3 linked regions of the Macaca mulatta genome follow. The protein of the gene in region 2 interacts with the protein of the main gene of each other region in a pairwise test. Links are inferred from orthologs where the notes say so. Each region holds a gene or a part of one and is shown on either strand. Other genes may lie near its edges. The genes, in order: PRPF19, EXOC7 and SSC5D.

The links.
Region 1: the proteins of EXOC7 (region 2) and PRPF19 interact in a two-hybrid assay, tested with the Homo sapiens proteins (2 studies listed by BioGRID and IntAct, with this or other methods). The link is inferred for Macaca mulatta from reciprocal best matches to the Homo sapiens genes EXOC7 and PRPF19.
Region 3: the proteins of EXOC7 (region 2) and SSC5D interact in binary tests that used the Homo sapiens proteins (3 or more experiments, as listed by UniProt). The two-hybrid records come from large-scale screens. The link is inferred for Macaca mulatta from reciprocal best matches to the Homo sapiens genes EXOC7 and SSC5D.

Annotation. Positions count from the first base shown.
Region 1 is NC_133419.1:13,165,121-13,171,040, forward strand, and holds the start of PRPF19 (pre-mRNA-processing factor 19), read left to right. Parts: upstream 1-2,226; 5' UTR 2,227-2,427; coding exon 2,428-2,446; intron 2,447-3,359; exon of another isoform or gene 3,360-3,447; intron 3,448-4,907; coding exon 4,908-5,057; intron 5,058-5,233; coding exon 5,234-5,310; intron 5,311-5,891; coding exon 5,892-5,920. UniProt on the Homo sapiens protein: Ubiquitin-protein ligase which is a core component of several complexes mainly involved pre-mRNA splicing and DNA repair. Required for pre-mRNA splicing as component of the spliceosome.
Region 2 is NC_133421.1:85,832,377-85,838,337, reverse strand, and holds the start of EXOC7 (exocyst complex component 7), read left to right. Parts: upstream 1-2,587; 5' UTR 2,588-2,670; coding exon 2,671-2,730; intron 2,731-2,927; coding exon 2,928-2,993; intron 2,994-4,474; coding exon 4,475-4,659; intron 4,660-4,959; coding exon 4,960-5,065; intron 5,066-5,961. UniProt on the Homo sapiens protein: Component of the exocyst complex involved in the docking of exocytic vesicles with fusion sites on the plasma membrane.
Region 3 is NC_133424.1:67,856,410-67,861,013, forward strand, and holds the end of SSC5D (soluble scavenger receptor cysteine-rich domain-containing protein SSC5D), read left to right. Parts: coding exon 1-45; intron 46-1,759; coding exon 1,760-3,477; 3' UTR 3,478-3,554; downstream 3,555-4,604.

The sequences.
Region 1 (5,920 bases), on a different chromosome or scaffold from region 2:
TCAGCCACCTGTTCCTTCTTTGAGCCTCATATTTTGTATGACTGCTGTGCACACTTGCACACTAATACACTTGTATGTCGTTTCTCCTGTTATTCTGTCGTTTGTCAGTTAATTTCAGCAAATCTTTAGAGGGCAGAGGAGAAACTTTTTTGCTCCATACCCTCATTCAGTTCTCAGCGAAAAAAAAATCAGCTCCTCAAAGATGCACTCTCTAAGTGCCCTGTCTAAAGCAGCCATTCCTCCAATCCCCAGCACCTCTGTCTACTTTGCTCTGATTTGTTGCATTCATAGCACTACTACTCTGGAATTTTCTTCTTAAGTGTTGATTGTCTCTGTGCTCCCACCACTCCCAGTACAGTGTAAGCTCCAAAAGAGCAGAAACTGTGTCTTTCTTGTTGACCTTTTCTATCTCCAGTTTTTAGAATAGGGCTTGGCACATAGGAAGTACCCAATCAATATTTGTTGGATGAATGAAATGCCTGGGGAATAACATGAATCGATATTTCATTCAAAGCGGATCACTGGCTGCTCTGTGGAAAGTAGATTAGGAGGAGGAGGCCAGGCTGGAAGCAAGGAACAAGTGGCAAGCTACTTTGTTGGTGCAAGAGAGAGATGAAATGCCCTTTTGCATATTAACTCCTCATAAGAGTTCAGCGAGTTAGTTCTACCCCTGTCATCACTCCCTCTGTTTTACAGATGAGGAAACTAAGGCATAGAGAAGTTCATACAGTTAATCACCTGGGTGGTGCTAGGATTTGAGCACACAGTCTGACTTCAGAGTCCATGCTCTTGGCCACTATGCCATACTACCTTTTGTACCTGTAACTTTTATTTTTCTCTCCAAGCTTTTGCTTACATTGTTTCTCCTTCTGGAATGCCTTTCCTTCTCCTTCTCCTCTGAATACTGCCCACCTGTCAAAGTCCCTCTCACTCACACATCCTGTTCATCCTGCCCGTTTGTCTTGATACCTTATAGTCCACACCACATGTCTTTTGCATGATTCCTGAGAGTATCTTATCTTACAGATATCCACAAAGAATCATACACTATCTGAGCTGGAAGAGAAACAGAAAATACAAAATAAATTGATAAGAGGCCACTGGTTTGGACTGAGCTCTTGCGCTAGGCCTAACAGACCAAGCTAAAAAGAGTCCTGCCGAAGTTCCACCCCAATGAGCTGAAACTAAGATCTTTATGACCTTCTGAGAGAGAGTGTGTGTGTGCATGTGTGTTGGCGGGGAGAGCTAAATTCCCAAACAGGCAAGTTTTACATGGCATGATAAAGAAGTACCCTCCACTTTAACCTTTACAAGAAAAGTAATTTTGAGATTACCAAATGACCAATCCCATTTTTGTTCTGTTTCTGTTTTCCTCAGTCCTTTTCTGTCTAAAAAACCAAGCTCCCCTGTTCAGCTCATTGGAACAACCATTAGATTTTATAGTGTAAGGCGCTGCCCAATTTTATAGAATTGCACCCTAAGTCCCAGAGCTACTCTGGAGGCTGAGGCAGAAGGATCACTTGAGCCCAGGAGTTCCAGGATGCACCTGTGATAGCCATGATTGCTACGATTGCACCTGTGAATAGCCACTGCGTTCCAGCCTGGGCAACATTGCCAGAGTCCGTCTCTTAAAAACAAAAACAAAAACAAAACAAAACCAAAAAACAAAAACAAACAAAAAACTTTAAACTAAATTTGTTGTGATTTTGTCTTTTGACAAAGAAGAAAGGGCAGGGAAGCCAATGTGAATTGCCCCAAATCACAGAGCGAAACGGTAGTAGTCAGGACCAAAACGCTGTCTTAGCCGTTTTCTTAGTTCCTGTACCCATCTGCCTCTGTATTTTTAACACCAGGCCATCCAGCAGTGTCTCTTAAAGGGTGGCCCGAGAAACACCTGACTTAGAATAGCGTGGGGCGCAGTCTGTCTACGCAGATCCGAGGAATCTGCATTTTAACAATGGGAAATTGGGAAATTCTCGCGCACACCAAGGTTTCAAAGACCAGGGTCCCGTGACACAGTGCCGCACAGTTGTCAAAACAAGTGCTGTCCAATTGCTTTGGTTTTAAGTTCTCACTGCATCATGGGAAATGTAGTTTCGAGTCTCCTCTCTTCCGACGCCCCCGCCAATCCCCGGGCGCTTTACGGAACGAGCCGAGTCAATCCGGAAATAACCGAGTGTTCGTGGCGGGCCCTTTCCTGCCCGGCTGCATTCTGGGAAAGGTCTATTTCCGTTAGGTGCTGGAGGCAGTGGCGCGCGGCTGTCCCCATTCCCACGTGAAGCGCTACGCGAGCATCGCTCGACTGGCGGCTCCCAGCTCGCAGCTGAGCAGTCCCGGCAGCAGCGGGGGACCGGAAGTGGCTCGCGGAGGCTCAGAAGCCAGTCCCGGAGTCCGGCGTGTGGCGCCTGGGAGCGCGGCAACGGCGCCATGTCCCTAATCTGCTCCAGTGAGTGTTGCCTGCGGCCGAGCGCGGGTCGCAGGAGGCCGGAGAGCGGCGCGGGAGCGTGTGCGGGCCACTGCGGCGCCGGGGCCGGGGCCGGGGTGGAGGCGGGAATGGGGCGCTCCAGAGGCAGAGCGGCGGCCTGTCAGCCCCGGAGCCCTCCCCTCGGAGCGGGGTGCATTTGCGCAGTGCTCCGCAGTTTACATAGTGCCGGAGGTTTATTGTCGCAGGCATTACTGAGGCAGGTCGCCTCATTCTACCGAGTGGAAACAGGCCTGGACAGAGGGAGCTGGTGCAGGGGAAACAGCCTTGATGTAAGAGTCAGGAAACCCGAGGTCTTGTCCAGGGTCCGCCTCCTGTTGGCTTTGTGAATTGGCTTAAGGCTCTGTGCCTCGGTTTCCCCATCTGCAAAATTGAGAGCATTGCACTGGATATTTTGTGAGGCCTTGCTCGGATAGTCGCAGCTTTTGCAATTTGTAAAGGTCACATGATGAGTTAGAGGTAGGCAAGGCTGGCAGCTAGGTATATGGCTCCCAGCCTTACAGTGTATGACTAATTAAAAACAGCGCACATTTATAAAGCCCTTATTGGTTTACAACGCGCTTCCAAGTCTAGGATCTCATTTTATCCTCACAAGAATTCCCTAAAGGAGAAAAGATCCTGGTGTTGCAAATGAGGAGGCAAGGCTCAGGAAGAGCGGGGCTTATCTAAGAATGCGTAGCTAGTCAATGGCAGAGCTGGGTGACGTAGTTAGGTGACACGGAGTTTGGAGCCTGAATCCTTGCTTTTTCCATACCTTCCACTATCTTTCCCTTTGATATTTTATCATGACGTACATACGTTTTCCTTTCCCTTTTCGTTGTTTCATCAGATTACTCGTTTCCCCTCCCTTTTGCTATTCACCTCCGTCTCTTCTCAGAACCTGTACGTTGATCCAGAGAGGGGGAAGAAGGAAGGGAAATGATGGAAAAGGAATCCCTCACATTGAAGAAATTACAGCTCGCAAAGTACCTTCATATTCATTGTTTCCTTCCAGTCTTGGGAAAGCTCTCTTTTACGTTCCCCAGCACTATCTTTCCTGGCAGGGTTCACTCATTCGTTAGATGTTTACCGAGTGCCCCGGGGGCATCTGCATTGTACTGGAAGTGAGAGACCAGCTGTAATCCTTATCCTCAAGGGGCGCACAGTCTATGCAGGCAAGAGTGTAAATGATACCTCTATTGCGGGTTGTTGTGAACATGAATTACTGTACTGTATGCCTAGAATTGTGCTTGGCACATAGACATGTGCCATGTAAATATTTTTATTGTAATGATTGCCACTTTGCTCCTTGGAATCTTCCAGGTGATAAGTGTCTGCCTGTATCCTAATCAGTTGACTGGTAGCTGGCAGACGTCAATAGCTTCAGGATGGGGACTGGTCACCTAGAAAGACTAAAGGGTATTAGAAAGTTGGGATTTTCAGTCCTACCCCCCACTTACCTGGGGAACGAGAGGGGCTGAAGTTGTCACTAGTGACCAGTGATTTATTGAATCATGCCTTTGTAATGAAGTTTTCATAAAAATACAAAAGGGCAGGATTCAAAGAGCTTCTGTATAGCAGAACATGTGGGCGTTCCTGGAGGGTGGGGTGCCCAGGGAGGGCATGGGAAGCTCTGTACTCCTTCTCCCATACCTCATCCTATGCACCTCTTCATCTATACCCTTTGTAATATCCTTTATAATAAACTGGTCAACATAAGTGTTTCCCACAATTCTGTGAGTCACTGTTGAAAATTAATTGAACCCAAAAAGGGGGTCATGGGAACCCTGATTTACAGCTGGTAGATCAGAAGAACAGGTCAAACAACCTGGAGCTTGCGATTGGCATCTGAAGGGGTGGGGGAGTCTGGTGGGACTGAGACCTCAACCCGTGTGATCTGACACTATCTCCAGGTACCTGGTGTCAGAATTGAATTGGAGGACACCCGGATGGTCACATCTGAGGTCACAGAAGTATTTTGTTTTGTGAGAGAATAGGAGAAACTGAGTTTGTTATTCCTATATTCTCAGACTTTATGATTTCTTTGATAATCCCTCTGGAGCTATAGACTAAGATGGATGGAAGGGATTTGAATGGCTTCATGTGTGTCTCCATGTCATGGAGTAAACTGTATTCATAGAGTACACAATCATTGTTCAGATATTAGGTGGCGATAATGGACTGCTGTTCTCTAGGTGCTTGGCACATAGTAGTTGTTAATAATTATTTGTTGACTATCTGATTGTCAGGAGACTAAAGGAAAAGCTAGTTCCACAGCTGGAAAGCATTCTGGGGCCAGTACAGAACTGGCTTAGGGTCAGATGTCTTGCTTTTTGCTAGTTGATTGTGAGGATGCCTAGTCTTGTTGGGGCTAATAGCAGATGAGGAATCCTCTAGGCTCAAGATTGCCTTCACTCCAAGCTCACTGCCGGCCTTTTCTCTACAGTCTCTAATGAAGTGCCGGAGCACCCATGTGTGTCCCCTGTCTCTAATCATGTTTATGAGCGGCGGCTCATTGAGAAGTACATTGCAGAGAATGGTACCGACCCCATCAACAACCAGCCTCTCTCCGAGGAGCAGCTCATCGACATCAAAGGTGCCTATTGGCTGCCTTAGTCTAGGGCCATCTTAGCTCAGAGCCTGAGAGGATGGGAGGTGGTGCCAATGCACTGGAGGAGGAGATGGTGGGCTGTTTATGGCTAAAAGGAAAAGATGTGATGGCAGGGGAGGTCCCTGGGTTATGCTCTTCATACCTACTTTCCCTTTCGGCAGTTGCTCACCCAATCCGGCCCAAGCCTCCCTCAGCCACCAGCATCCCGGCCATTCTGAAAGCCTTGCAGGATGAGTGGGTGAGTTCCTGCAAGAGAATTAGCATCTTCCCCACTTGAAGAGAATGCATCGCTGAGTTAGGACTTGGGGGTGGGAAGGATGGAGAATTATTTAGATAATCATCATCAGGGTTTTGTGACATCAGGGTTTTGTTTTATTCTTTGTTGTATCCCCAGCACTGAGAGCGCCTGGTACGTAGTAGGTGCTCTAGAATTATGAACTGAATGATTGAATACATCCTGCAGGACTGTCTGGCACAGTGCCTGACACAAAGAGGGCAATCAATAAATAGCAGCAGCAGCAGTGTTGTTATCCACTTTTAGAGAGGTGACGGCATGACAGCTGGAATTTGCCAGTAAATTAGGGAAAGTAGGGATGGGAAAGAGCTGACTGCCACTCCTGTCTGTGTGCCCAGTGTTTGGCTTGGGGTAGGAGCTCAAGAGTGTCTGCTGGCATATTCATGGTGCTCGGATATTGTTTGGGTCACTGATACTGGTCTAGGCTGTGGGATAGGAGGCAGCATCCACTCCCCAAGAGCTGGCTCCACTGGGTGCTCCCTGCGCCCCCCGCCTCAGCTCACAGTAATATTTGCCTCTCCCAGGATGCAGTCATGCTGCACAGCTTCACTCT
Region 2 (5,961 bases):
TAAATATAGTTGTCTTGAATACAACATGCTTTTCACAATGAATTTTTTTTTGAAAATCAGATTGGCAGCTTTGCATAACAAACACCACTCCTGAGCTGCCCAGCATGGGGAGAAAGAAGACACCACCTGAGCCTCACCCTTTGCTGGCCAGCTGTGTTGACTTACTACAGCTGAGTTCTCTGAGCCGGAGCTTCCTCATCTGCACAAGGGAGATGACAGCTGTGCCCGACTCCCAGGTTTATGGTGGGATTAGAGGAGCATTAACAAGGGCAATGTTTGTAGTAAAGCCAGGCAAACAGAAGGCTCTCAGTACATGGTAGTTAGCAACCCCATTAGACTCAGACACTGAAGGAAATTTGAGGAAATGCAGTAAAGCACACACCGTTTATTGACAAAAATGCAATGACATTGTACAGATTTGAAAATATTAGCTTCCTCATGAGCATAAAAGATTCCCAAGACCTATGGAACAAAAAAAAATTTTTTTTTTTCTTGAGATGGAGTCTTGCTCTGTTGCCCAGGCTGGAGTGCAATGACACCATCTCGGCTCACCACAACCTTTGCCTCCTGAGTTCAAGCGATTCTCCTGCCTCAGCCTCCCGAGTAGCTGGGACTACAGGTGCACACCACCATGCCTAGCTAATTTTTGTATTTTTAGTAGACATGGGGTTTCACTATGTTGACGAGGCTGGTCTCGAACTCCTGACCTCCTGATCCACCTGCCTCAGCCTCCCAAAGTGCTGGGATTACAGGCATGAGCCACTGCACCTGGCCAGAGCAAAATATTATTATCAGTATTTTTATTGAGCATCTACTATGGGTGAGGAACTGGTTAGAGACTCAGGCCAGTGCGGTGGCTCACACCTGTAATGCCAGCACTTTGGGAGGCCGAGGCGGGCGGATCACCTGAGGTCGGGAGTTCAAGAACAGCCTGAACAACATGGAGAAACCCTGTCTCTACTAAAAATACAAAATTAGACAGGGTGGTGGCGTATGCCTGTAATCCCAGCTACTTGGGAGGCTGAGGCAGAAGAATTGCTTGAATCCGGGAGGCGGAGGTTGTGGTGAGCTGAGATGGCGCCATTGCACTCCAGCCTGGGCAACAGAGCAAGACTGCGTCTCAAGGAAAAAAAAAAGAGAGAGACTCGGGTTAAATACTGGACCAGGCCCTCAAGGGTTGTCCACCTGAACCCAAAACATCCTCTCTGCAGCGGCTCACTAGCCCCCCTATTCTATTCTGTGACACCTAACAGTTTAAACTTTTCCCCACTTAGCCCTTAGGACGACACAAGGACCACGTCAGCGAAATCATCCTGGGTATTTCCTGACACAGGAATCTGCCCTTTACCTCCCCCACCTACAAAAGGACGGAAATTGTCCTCCTGCCCGAGGGAAGGCTGCCCATCCCTCTCCAGGCTCTGTACACCCATTTCCTCCTCCTCCTCTTTGGGTGGCTATGAGTAGAGGGAGCGCATGGGAACCCTAGAACTTGGTGCCCCCCAGGCTGGGAGTAGCGGCTCACGCCTGTAATCCCAGGACTTTGGGAAGCCGAGGTGGGTGGATCACTTGAGGTCATGAGTTCGAGACTAGACTGGGCAACATGGCAAAACCCTGTCTCTACCAACAATACAAAAAAATTAGCCGGGCGTGTTGGCAGCCGCCTGTAATCCCAGCTACTCAGGAGGCTGAGGCACGAGAATCACTTGAACCCGGGAGGCAGAGGTTTCAATGAGCGGAGATCGTGCCACTGAATTGCAGCCTGGGCGACAGAGTGATACTCCCTCTCACAACAAAAAAAGAAAAGCTTGGTGTCCGTCCCCCCCCCCCAACCTTCTCATCCACCAGCACATGCCTCCTTGTCTATCTTCCCGGTGTCTGGACACTGAGGCCACAGAAGGACTGAACCAAGTTGGTCGGCCATGTCCTGTCTCAAGGCCGGGGGCCAGAGGCAGGGTGGGCAGGGACTGGTTAGAGGAAGGAGTAATTCTAGGTTTTTCAGGAGCTGGGTCTACAACCACAACATCCAACCCTGCAGGGAAGTTGATCCAGGGGCGCCCACCACGCCATCCCCTGGAGCTGCAGCTGGAAGCTGGGACTGGGCCTGGAGCTCCGGAGCAGCCCCGCCAGCCCACAGGATACGGTTTTGCGTAATGCAGGGTTGAAGGGGAAAACGACTACACAAGCCCCTGGTTCATTACATGGACACACGTTAGGCATCTACTGTGTCACCTGCGCTGTGCCGGGCGCTGTGGGGAACACAATCGGCCTTGGTGCCTGCCCACAGAATGCGACCTGGGGAAAGGAATTCGTCGCCTTCCCCAGCAGTGTTTATGAAAAGGCTCGGTCTTTCAACGAAAACAGCAAGTGAGCTGTAAGCGTCCTACCAGCCGCGGGACATAAGGCCGATCAAAAACCTCTCCTGAGGAAAGGAACCCGCGTCGAGATCCCTTGTAGGATCCGAGTACACGTCACTCCACAGCCACACTCAAGATGGCCGTCGGTCCGTTCCTGGGCTCCGCGCAGGCGCACTTCCGCCTTCCACGCCCAACCTGGCTCCGCCCAGGTGTCCCGGGGCGGGACCAAGAGCGGAAGTGGGTGTGACGGGGACTGGGGCCCGGTGCGCCAGCGAAGGAGAGATAGTGGGGAGTGGGAGCCGTGGGGTTCGGAGCGATGATTCCCCCACAGGAGGCATCCGCCCGAAGGCGGGAGATCGAGGACAAGCTGAAGCAGGTGGGCGTGGGCCTGGGGAGGAGGTGAGGGAAAGAGGCCAACAGCGGGGCCTGAGTGTCTACTCGGAGAGGAGGCAGGGGTGGGAGGGAGCGCACCGAGCGAGGAGATGGGGTTGGGGGCTAGGCCGTGGGGTCGGGACACAGTGGTCTCCTTTAGCTTCTGGTTTCTGGTGATGTCCTCCCCTTGCCTGCTCCCAGGAGGAGGAGACGCTGTCCTTCATCCGAGACAGCCTGGAGAAGAGCGACCAGCTCACTAAGAACATGGTGAGTCTCCTCGCAGCTGGGGGAGGGGGCAGGCCTCCGGACCCTGGGGGAAAGCCTTGCGACCTGGCGGTTCCAGTTCTTGCGGCCTGGGGTTCTGTCATGGGTAGCGACGCAGGCAGTGTGTGGGTTTATCTAGCAGCAGTTTGGCATCTCTCCTGCCTAGCCCCCTCCCCATATTCCGTCCCCTCACTGAGGAGGCTGCGCTTCCCCCTGGCCTGGACTTGCTGCTTTCTGTCTAAGCTCGCCATTCTTCCTTCTCTCCTTCTGCAAATACTCAGTGAGTCTGACCAGTTAGTTGGGCTAGGTACTGGGCATATGTCATCGTCAATGGATCCTCTGCCCAGGAGGTTGGCACTTTGAGATTCCTGAGAGCAGAGAAGACTCAGCCTTCACTCCAGAGGGCTTCAGGGAAAGAAAGAGCTCTGAAGTCAGGCAGATCTGGGATCTAGTCCTTGCCCTGCTGCTTAAGTGTGTGGCTCCTGATAGGTAACTCTGGTGTCAGCGAATTCATCTGCTAAAGCAGAGACTGTGCCAGCCTCCCAGTGTGTCTGTGAAGGTCATATGCGCTAATGCATGCGACTGCATCTTGCTCAGTGCCTGGTATACAATAGGTGCTCAATAAGTGAGGTTCCTTCTTTATTCCTAGGGGAGACTGGAAAAGCACAAAGTGAGTAAATACAAACTTGTATTTGTATTTAGTCACACAATAATAAAGTCCTAGTCCTTTTCTAAAAAATTTAATTTTAAAATTATTTCTTTTTAGAGACAGGGTCTGGCTCTGTTGTGCAGGCTAGAGTGCAGTGGCATGACCGTAGCTCACTGCAGTCTCTAACTCCTGGGCTCAGGCAGTCCTCCTGCCTCGGCATCCTAGTAGCTGGGACTGTAGGCACATACCACCACACCTTGCTAATTATGTGCGTGTGTGTGTCTGTGTGTGTAGACAGGGTCTCACTGTGTTGTCCAGGCTGGTCTTGGACTCCTAGTCTCAAGCAATCCTCCTGCCTCAGCCTCCCAAATTCTTAGGATTACAGGCATGAACCATCACGCCCAGCCTCTAGTCCTTATTCAATGAGTTTCATCCTTAAGAGAGTTTTGAAGATACAGAAATGCATTTGAGGCTTCTCTGTATGAAACTACTTCCAGTCCAGTTTAGGAATGCTTCAAAGAGAGCAGAAGTTGAGATTTGGCTTCAAAGGGTGGAAGGGAAGCCATCTTGGGCTGATTATTTTAGGAAGAATTAATTTGATGCTTGGTTTGCCTTCAAATAAAATTTCAACCAATTTGTCTTAAATCACCTACTATATGCTAGGCACATGATGGGTGCTGAGGATACAATGGGGAACAGATACACCCTCTTCCTTCCCTTGTGGAGTTTATTGTCTAGAAACCCAGAGAAAAGGCAGGAAATGCCCAAGGTGGGTGTGTAGAAGCAGTGCTGGGACCACCATGAGGCCTGAGATCAAGAGGCTTCCCTCCTGCAGGTGTCTATCTTATCATCCTTTGAGAGCCGCCTTATGAAGCTGGAGAACTCCATCATCCCCGTGCACAAGCAGACGGAGAATCTGCAGCGGCTGCAGGAGAATGTTGAGAAGACACTGTCCTGCCTGGACCATGTCATCAGCTACTACCATGTGGCCAGTGACACTGAGAAGATCATCAGAGAGGGGTGAGTTAGGCCCATAGGGTCAATTCCTAATCCCTCCTGGACCGGAGGGTTGGTCTGTAATCCCAATAATTTGGGATGCTGATGCGGGAGGATCACTTGAGACCAGGAGTTCAAGACCAGCCTGGACAACACAGTGAGATGCCTTTTAAGCCCTAAGCCTTAAAAGGCGGTGGGGGGGATAGCATATATTTGAACCTGGAGTCCCATGTATTAATTCTCTTCTTTCCCTTCCAAATACTGTGTCCTTAGTCCTTCTTCACCCCCCTTGCCCCAGCCTGACCTGGCTCTTTTGCTTCCCAGCCCCACAGGTAGGCTGGAAGAGTACCTGGGAAGCATGGCCAAGATTCAGAAGGCAGTGGAGTATTTCCAGGACAACAGCCCAGACAGCCCAGAACTCAACAAAGTGGTAAGGGATCTGCAGAATAATGTGAGGAGCTTGGGGATATCAGTCTCTGCCCTGGTCTCATGAGGGACATGGGGCCAGCTTGAGGATGTATACAGTAGAATACACAGAAGGATATAGCACAGTACATCCTCTAGGCATTAGTATCTCTGCCTCAAGAATTGCACATTTTTTATTATTAAAAATTCTTTATTATAAAACTTTTAAATGTATTATAAAAATTAAATTATAAATTACATATAAAATATATACTTAACATTTGATTTTTTTTTTTTTTTTCTCCTGAGACAGAGTCTTGCTCTGTCACCCAGGCTGGAGTGCAGTGCTCAGTTCACTGCAACCTCTGCTCCCGGGTCCATGCCATTCTCCTGCCTCCGCCTCCGGAGTAGCTGGGATTACAGGCGCCCGCCACCACACCCGGCTAATTTTTGTATTTTTAGTGGAGATGGGGTTTCGCCATGTTGGCCAGGCTGGTCTCAAACTCCTGACCTCAGATGATCCCCCACCTTGGCCTGGGATTACAGGCATGAGCCATTGCACCCAGCCACATTTGATTTTTATAAATGTATTTGTTGTTTCTTTATTTTGGTTAAAAATACATAATATAAATTTTTTTTTTTTTTGAGACGAAGTTTTGCTCTTGTTGCCCAAGCTGGAGTGCAATGGTGCGATCTCCCAAGCGATTCTCTTGCCTCGGCCTCCTGAGTAGCTGGGATTACAGGCGTGCGCCACCACTCCCGGCTAATTTTTTTTTTTTTTTTTGTAGTTTTAGTAGAAACGGGGTTTCACCATGTTAGCCAGGCTGGTCACGAACTCCTAACCTCAGGTGATCCGCCTGCCTTGGCTTCCAAAGTGCTGGGATTATAGGCGTGAGCCACCGCGCCCGGCCAAAATATACT
Region 3 (4,604 bases), on a different chromosome or scaffold from region 2:
GGAGCCCAGGCAGTCCTCCAACTCCGAGGGTCCATGGAGACACAGGTGAGGCACGTGGCTGGGGTCAGGGGACTGGGGCGGTATGTGTCGTGGGGTAAAGAGACAGATTCCAGACTCCCTGGTGGAACCCTTACCCCAGAAAGACTCAGCAGAAATATATCCTTAAATAAGGGGTTATCGGCTGAGCATGGTGGCTCACGCCTGTAATCACAGCACTTTGGGAGACCGAGTTGGGAGGATTGCTTAAGCTCAGGAGTTTGAGACCAGCCTAGGCAACACGGTGAAGCCCCCAAGATATGAACATTAGCTGGGTGTGGTGGTACGCACCTGTGGTCCCAGCTGCTTGGGAGGCTGAGGCAGGAGGATCCCTTGAGCCTGGGTGCTCCAGGCTGTGGTTATGCCACTGCATTCCAGCCTGGGTGCCAGAGCGAGACCTTGTCATAAACAAAACAAAACATAACAAAACAGAGCCAAGGGGTTATTATCTAGACCACTGGTCACCCACTAGGGTCGATTTTGCCCCCAAGGGGCATTTGACAATATCTGAAGATATTTTGGATTGTCATGGCAGGAAGTGAGAGGTCACCCATGGGCACCTCATCGGTAGAGGCCAGGAATGGTGTTAAACATCCCACAATGCACAGGACATCTCTCCATAACAAAGAACCACCCAGCCCTACATGACAACAGTACCGAGGTTGAGAAACCCCAGCCTAGATAGCCATAAGTCACTGTGACAAATAGGAAAATGATAGGAAGCCCTAGATGAGAAAGAGGGAAAGATACAAACAAGTGATTCCCCGAAAGGGAAGCCCAAATGGCTGAGTGTGTTTAGAAATGCCCACGCTCACCAGGAACCAGAAAATACAAATTAAAACAATGGCAAGTACGGAGGAGAATGAGAAAGGTGGGTATTATCAAGTGTGAGTGAGGATGTGGGGAGACAGGCAACCCCACTGGACAGAGCTGTTTGATAAAGACGGTCCAGCAGTATTTAGTAAAGTTAAGCATGATTAGGCCGGGCGCAGTGGCTCACGCCTGTAATCACAGCACTTTGGGAGGCTGAGGTGGGCGGATCACGAGGTCAGGAAATCGAGACCATCCTGGCTAACACGGAAACCCCGTCTCTACTAAATATACAAAAAATTAGCCGGGCATGGTGGCGGGTGCCTGTAGTCCCAGCTCCTCGGGAGGCTGAGGCAGGAGAATGGCGTGAACCTGGGAGGCGGAGCTTGCCGTGAGCCGAGATCGCGCCACTGCACTCCAGTCTGGGCGACAGAGCAAGACTCCGTCTCAAAAAAATAAAAATAAAAATAAAAATAAAATTTAAAATTCCATAAAGGTATTTTGATTACTAAAATTACCCTTCGGAGCCTCTTTGGTCTCCCTGCCTTCCCCGGCTCCCCACATCGCCCAGTCCCCCGCTGTCTCGGAATCCTCTCGTATGCTGCACGCTTCTGAGCACTCCCCCAGCTCCCGCGCCCCAGCATCCCCCGCATCCCTCCCTCACCTCACCCTCCTGCACCCACTCCCTCGACCCGCGTGCCCCTCCGCAGCGGAGGACACCAGGTGGCGCCTGGAGACATCGGAGGAGGCAGGGAGGAGGGGCCCTAGGGCCGGGTGAAGTCTGCCGGTGACCCATGACGTCTCGAGGCTCTGCGCCTCTCCATTGGTCGACTCCTCGAGGGGCGGGGCGGGACGCATAGTGGGCGGAGCCGGCTGACCTCAGACCGTCCGTCTGTCTTTCCTCCTCCTCCAGGTTCCCCGAGGAAACCCTGGCCCGAGCGCCGGCCACCGCGGCCCGCTGCGACCAGGACAGCGCCCGCAACCCCGTCCCCAGGTCCCTCCGCCTCTCCAGGACCCCCAGGCCCAGCGCTGACCTCTGACTGCAGTCCAGAGCTCACGCCCCACTCAGCCTTGACGCCCGAGGCGACCTCTGACCCTCCGGACACTTCACCACCCACCCCAGACCCGACCTCCCGGACGAACCCCGACCTCATCCTGACAAGCCCTGACTTTGCTTTGTCCACCCCTGACTCCAGTGTGGTTCCAGCGTTGACCCCGGAGCCCTCGCCCACGCCCTTACCCACCTTGCCCAAAGAGCTGACCTCTGACCCTTCTACAGCGTCGGAGGTGACCAGCCTTTCCCCTACCTCAGAGCAGATCCCAGAATCTGACACAACCCCAGACTTGGACACAACTCCATACTCCAGTACAGTCTCGGAATATTCCAGATCCCCAGCCCCCTCCCCAAGCCCTCACCCCTCTGCTATCCCTGATCCCACCATGACCCCTGACCACACCACAACCCCTAACCCTACTGTGACCCCTCAGTTCCCTACCACCACTCACCCCACCACGACCCCTCAACCCACTACCATCACTCACTCCACCATGATTCCTGACCCTACCACAACCCCTCAACCCTTCACCACCATGCAGCCCACCACAACCCCTCACCCCACAACCCCTCACCCCACCACAACCCCTCATCCCACCACCACCACTCACTCCACCATGATTCCTGACCCCACCACAGCCCCTCAACCCTTCACCACCATGCAGCCCACCATGATCCCTCACCCCACAACTCCTTACCCCACCACAACCCCTCACCCCACCACAACCCCTCACCCCACCACAACCCCTCACCCCATCACGACTCCTGACCCCACCACGACCCCTCACCCCACCACGACTCCTGACCCCACCACGACCCCTCACCCCACCACAACTCCTGACTCTTCCTCAACCCCTATCATCACTACTAAGTCCCTTCCAACCTCCTTGGGGACAGAACTCTCCTCTCCCACTCTAGCACCAACAGTCAAGCCCAGTCTGCACCCCCAGTTGACCTTCACAGCACCTGCCCCTCACACCTCCACATCCCAGATGCCCACCTTAGAGCCCTCTCCAGCCTTGGAGTCCAGCCCCTCCAGGTCCTCCACAGCCACAAGCATGGACCCACTGTCCACTGAGGACTTCAAGCCACCCAGAAGCCAGAGCCCCAACCTAACCCTTCCACCCACCCATACCCCACACTCAGCCTCTGACCTCACTATGTCTCCTGACCCCCACCTCTCCCTGATAGCCCACCCCTTGGATCATCCTCCCCTTGACCCCCTCACCCTAGGGCCAACCCCTGGTCAGAGCCCAGGCCCCCATGGTCCATGTGTGGCCCCAACACCACCTGTAAGGGTCATGGCTTGTGAGCCACCTGCCCTGGTGGAACTGGTGGCTGCCGTGAGGGATGTGGGTGGTCAGCTGCAGAGACTGACCCAGGTCGTGGAACAGGACCGGCAGGAGCGCCAAGCCCTGCTGCTGGGGCTGACCCAGCTGGTAGAGGCTGCCCGGGGTCTGGGGCAGCTGGGTGAGGCCATGAAGAGAGTGGTAGAGATGGCCTGGACCACCAGCATGCCTGCACCAACCACCACTACCCCAGAGGAAGAAGAAAGGCCTCTGAGGGGAGACGTGTGACCCTCTCCAGGATTTGAGGGGCGTAAGACATTCCCGATCAAAACAAAACAAAAAAAACCAAAGTGCCTAATTAAAAACAAGGTGTGGATGGTGTTTTTGGGAAATTCTAGAGAAATAGAATTACAAGATTGATCTTGATATGTGAATAGCCCAGGTGCCATGCAAGGCGGTGTTGACGATGGGGATGATTATGAGGGTGGTGATGATGGTGATGATCTTGATGGTGATCGTGATAGGAGGACGATCACTGTGGTGAGGATCATGATAATGAGAATGGTAAGATGGTGGTGGTGGTGGTGGTGGTGGTGAAGATGGTGAAATAATGCTGATGATCATGAGGGAATGGTCATGGTGTTGAGGCAGTGACTATAATGATGGTGGTGGTGGTGATGGTGGTGATGATGATGATGAAGATGGTGAAATGATGGTGATAGTGGTGGTGGTGATGATGGTGATGATCACAGTGATGATGATGGTGCTGGTCATGAGGGAGTGGTCATGGGGATGAGGGAATGATAGTAATGATGATGGTGGTGGTGGTGGTGATGGTGGGAATGTTGATGATGATGATGAAGATGGTGAAATGATGGTGATGCTGATAGTGATGATCGTGAGAGAATTGTCATGGTGATGAGGCAATGACCATGATGATGATGGTGGTGATGATGATGGTGATGATCACAGTGATGATGATGGTGCTGGTCATGAGGGAGTGGTCATGGTGATGAGGGAATGATGGTAATGATGATGGTGGTGGTGGTGATGATGGTGATAAGGGTGATTATGGGGATGATGGTCACATTGATGGTGATGGTGATGGTGGTAGTGGTGGTGATAATGATGGCAATGATGGTGTGAAAGGTGATCATGGTGGTGATGACTGTGAAGGAACAGCCGTGGTGACGAGGCAATGATGGTAATGATGATGATGGTGATGGTGATGATGTTGGTGATTATGGTGGTAAAGATGATCCCGGTGGTGATGACTGTGGTGATGGCTGTGACAATGATGAAGCTTCATGTGAGCAAAAACTTGGCCTTGTTCATGGATGGAAGCCCAGTTTCTAGGAAAGAAGCCGATGCAGAGTACACACTCGATAATTAATATCTTTTGAATGAAAGAGTGC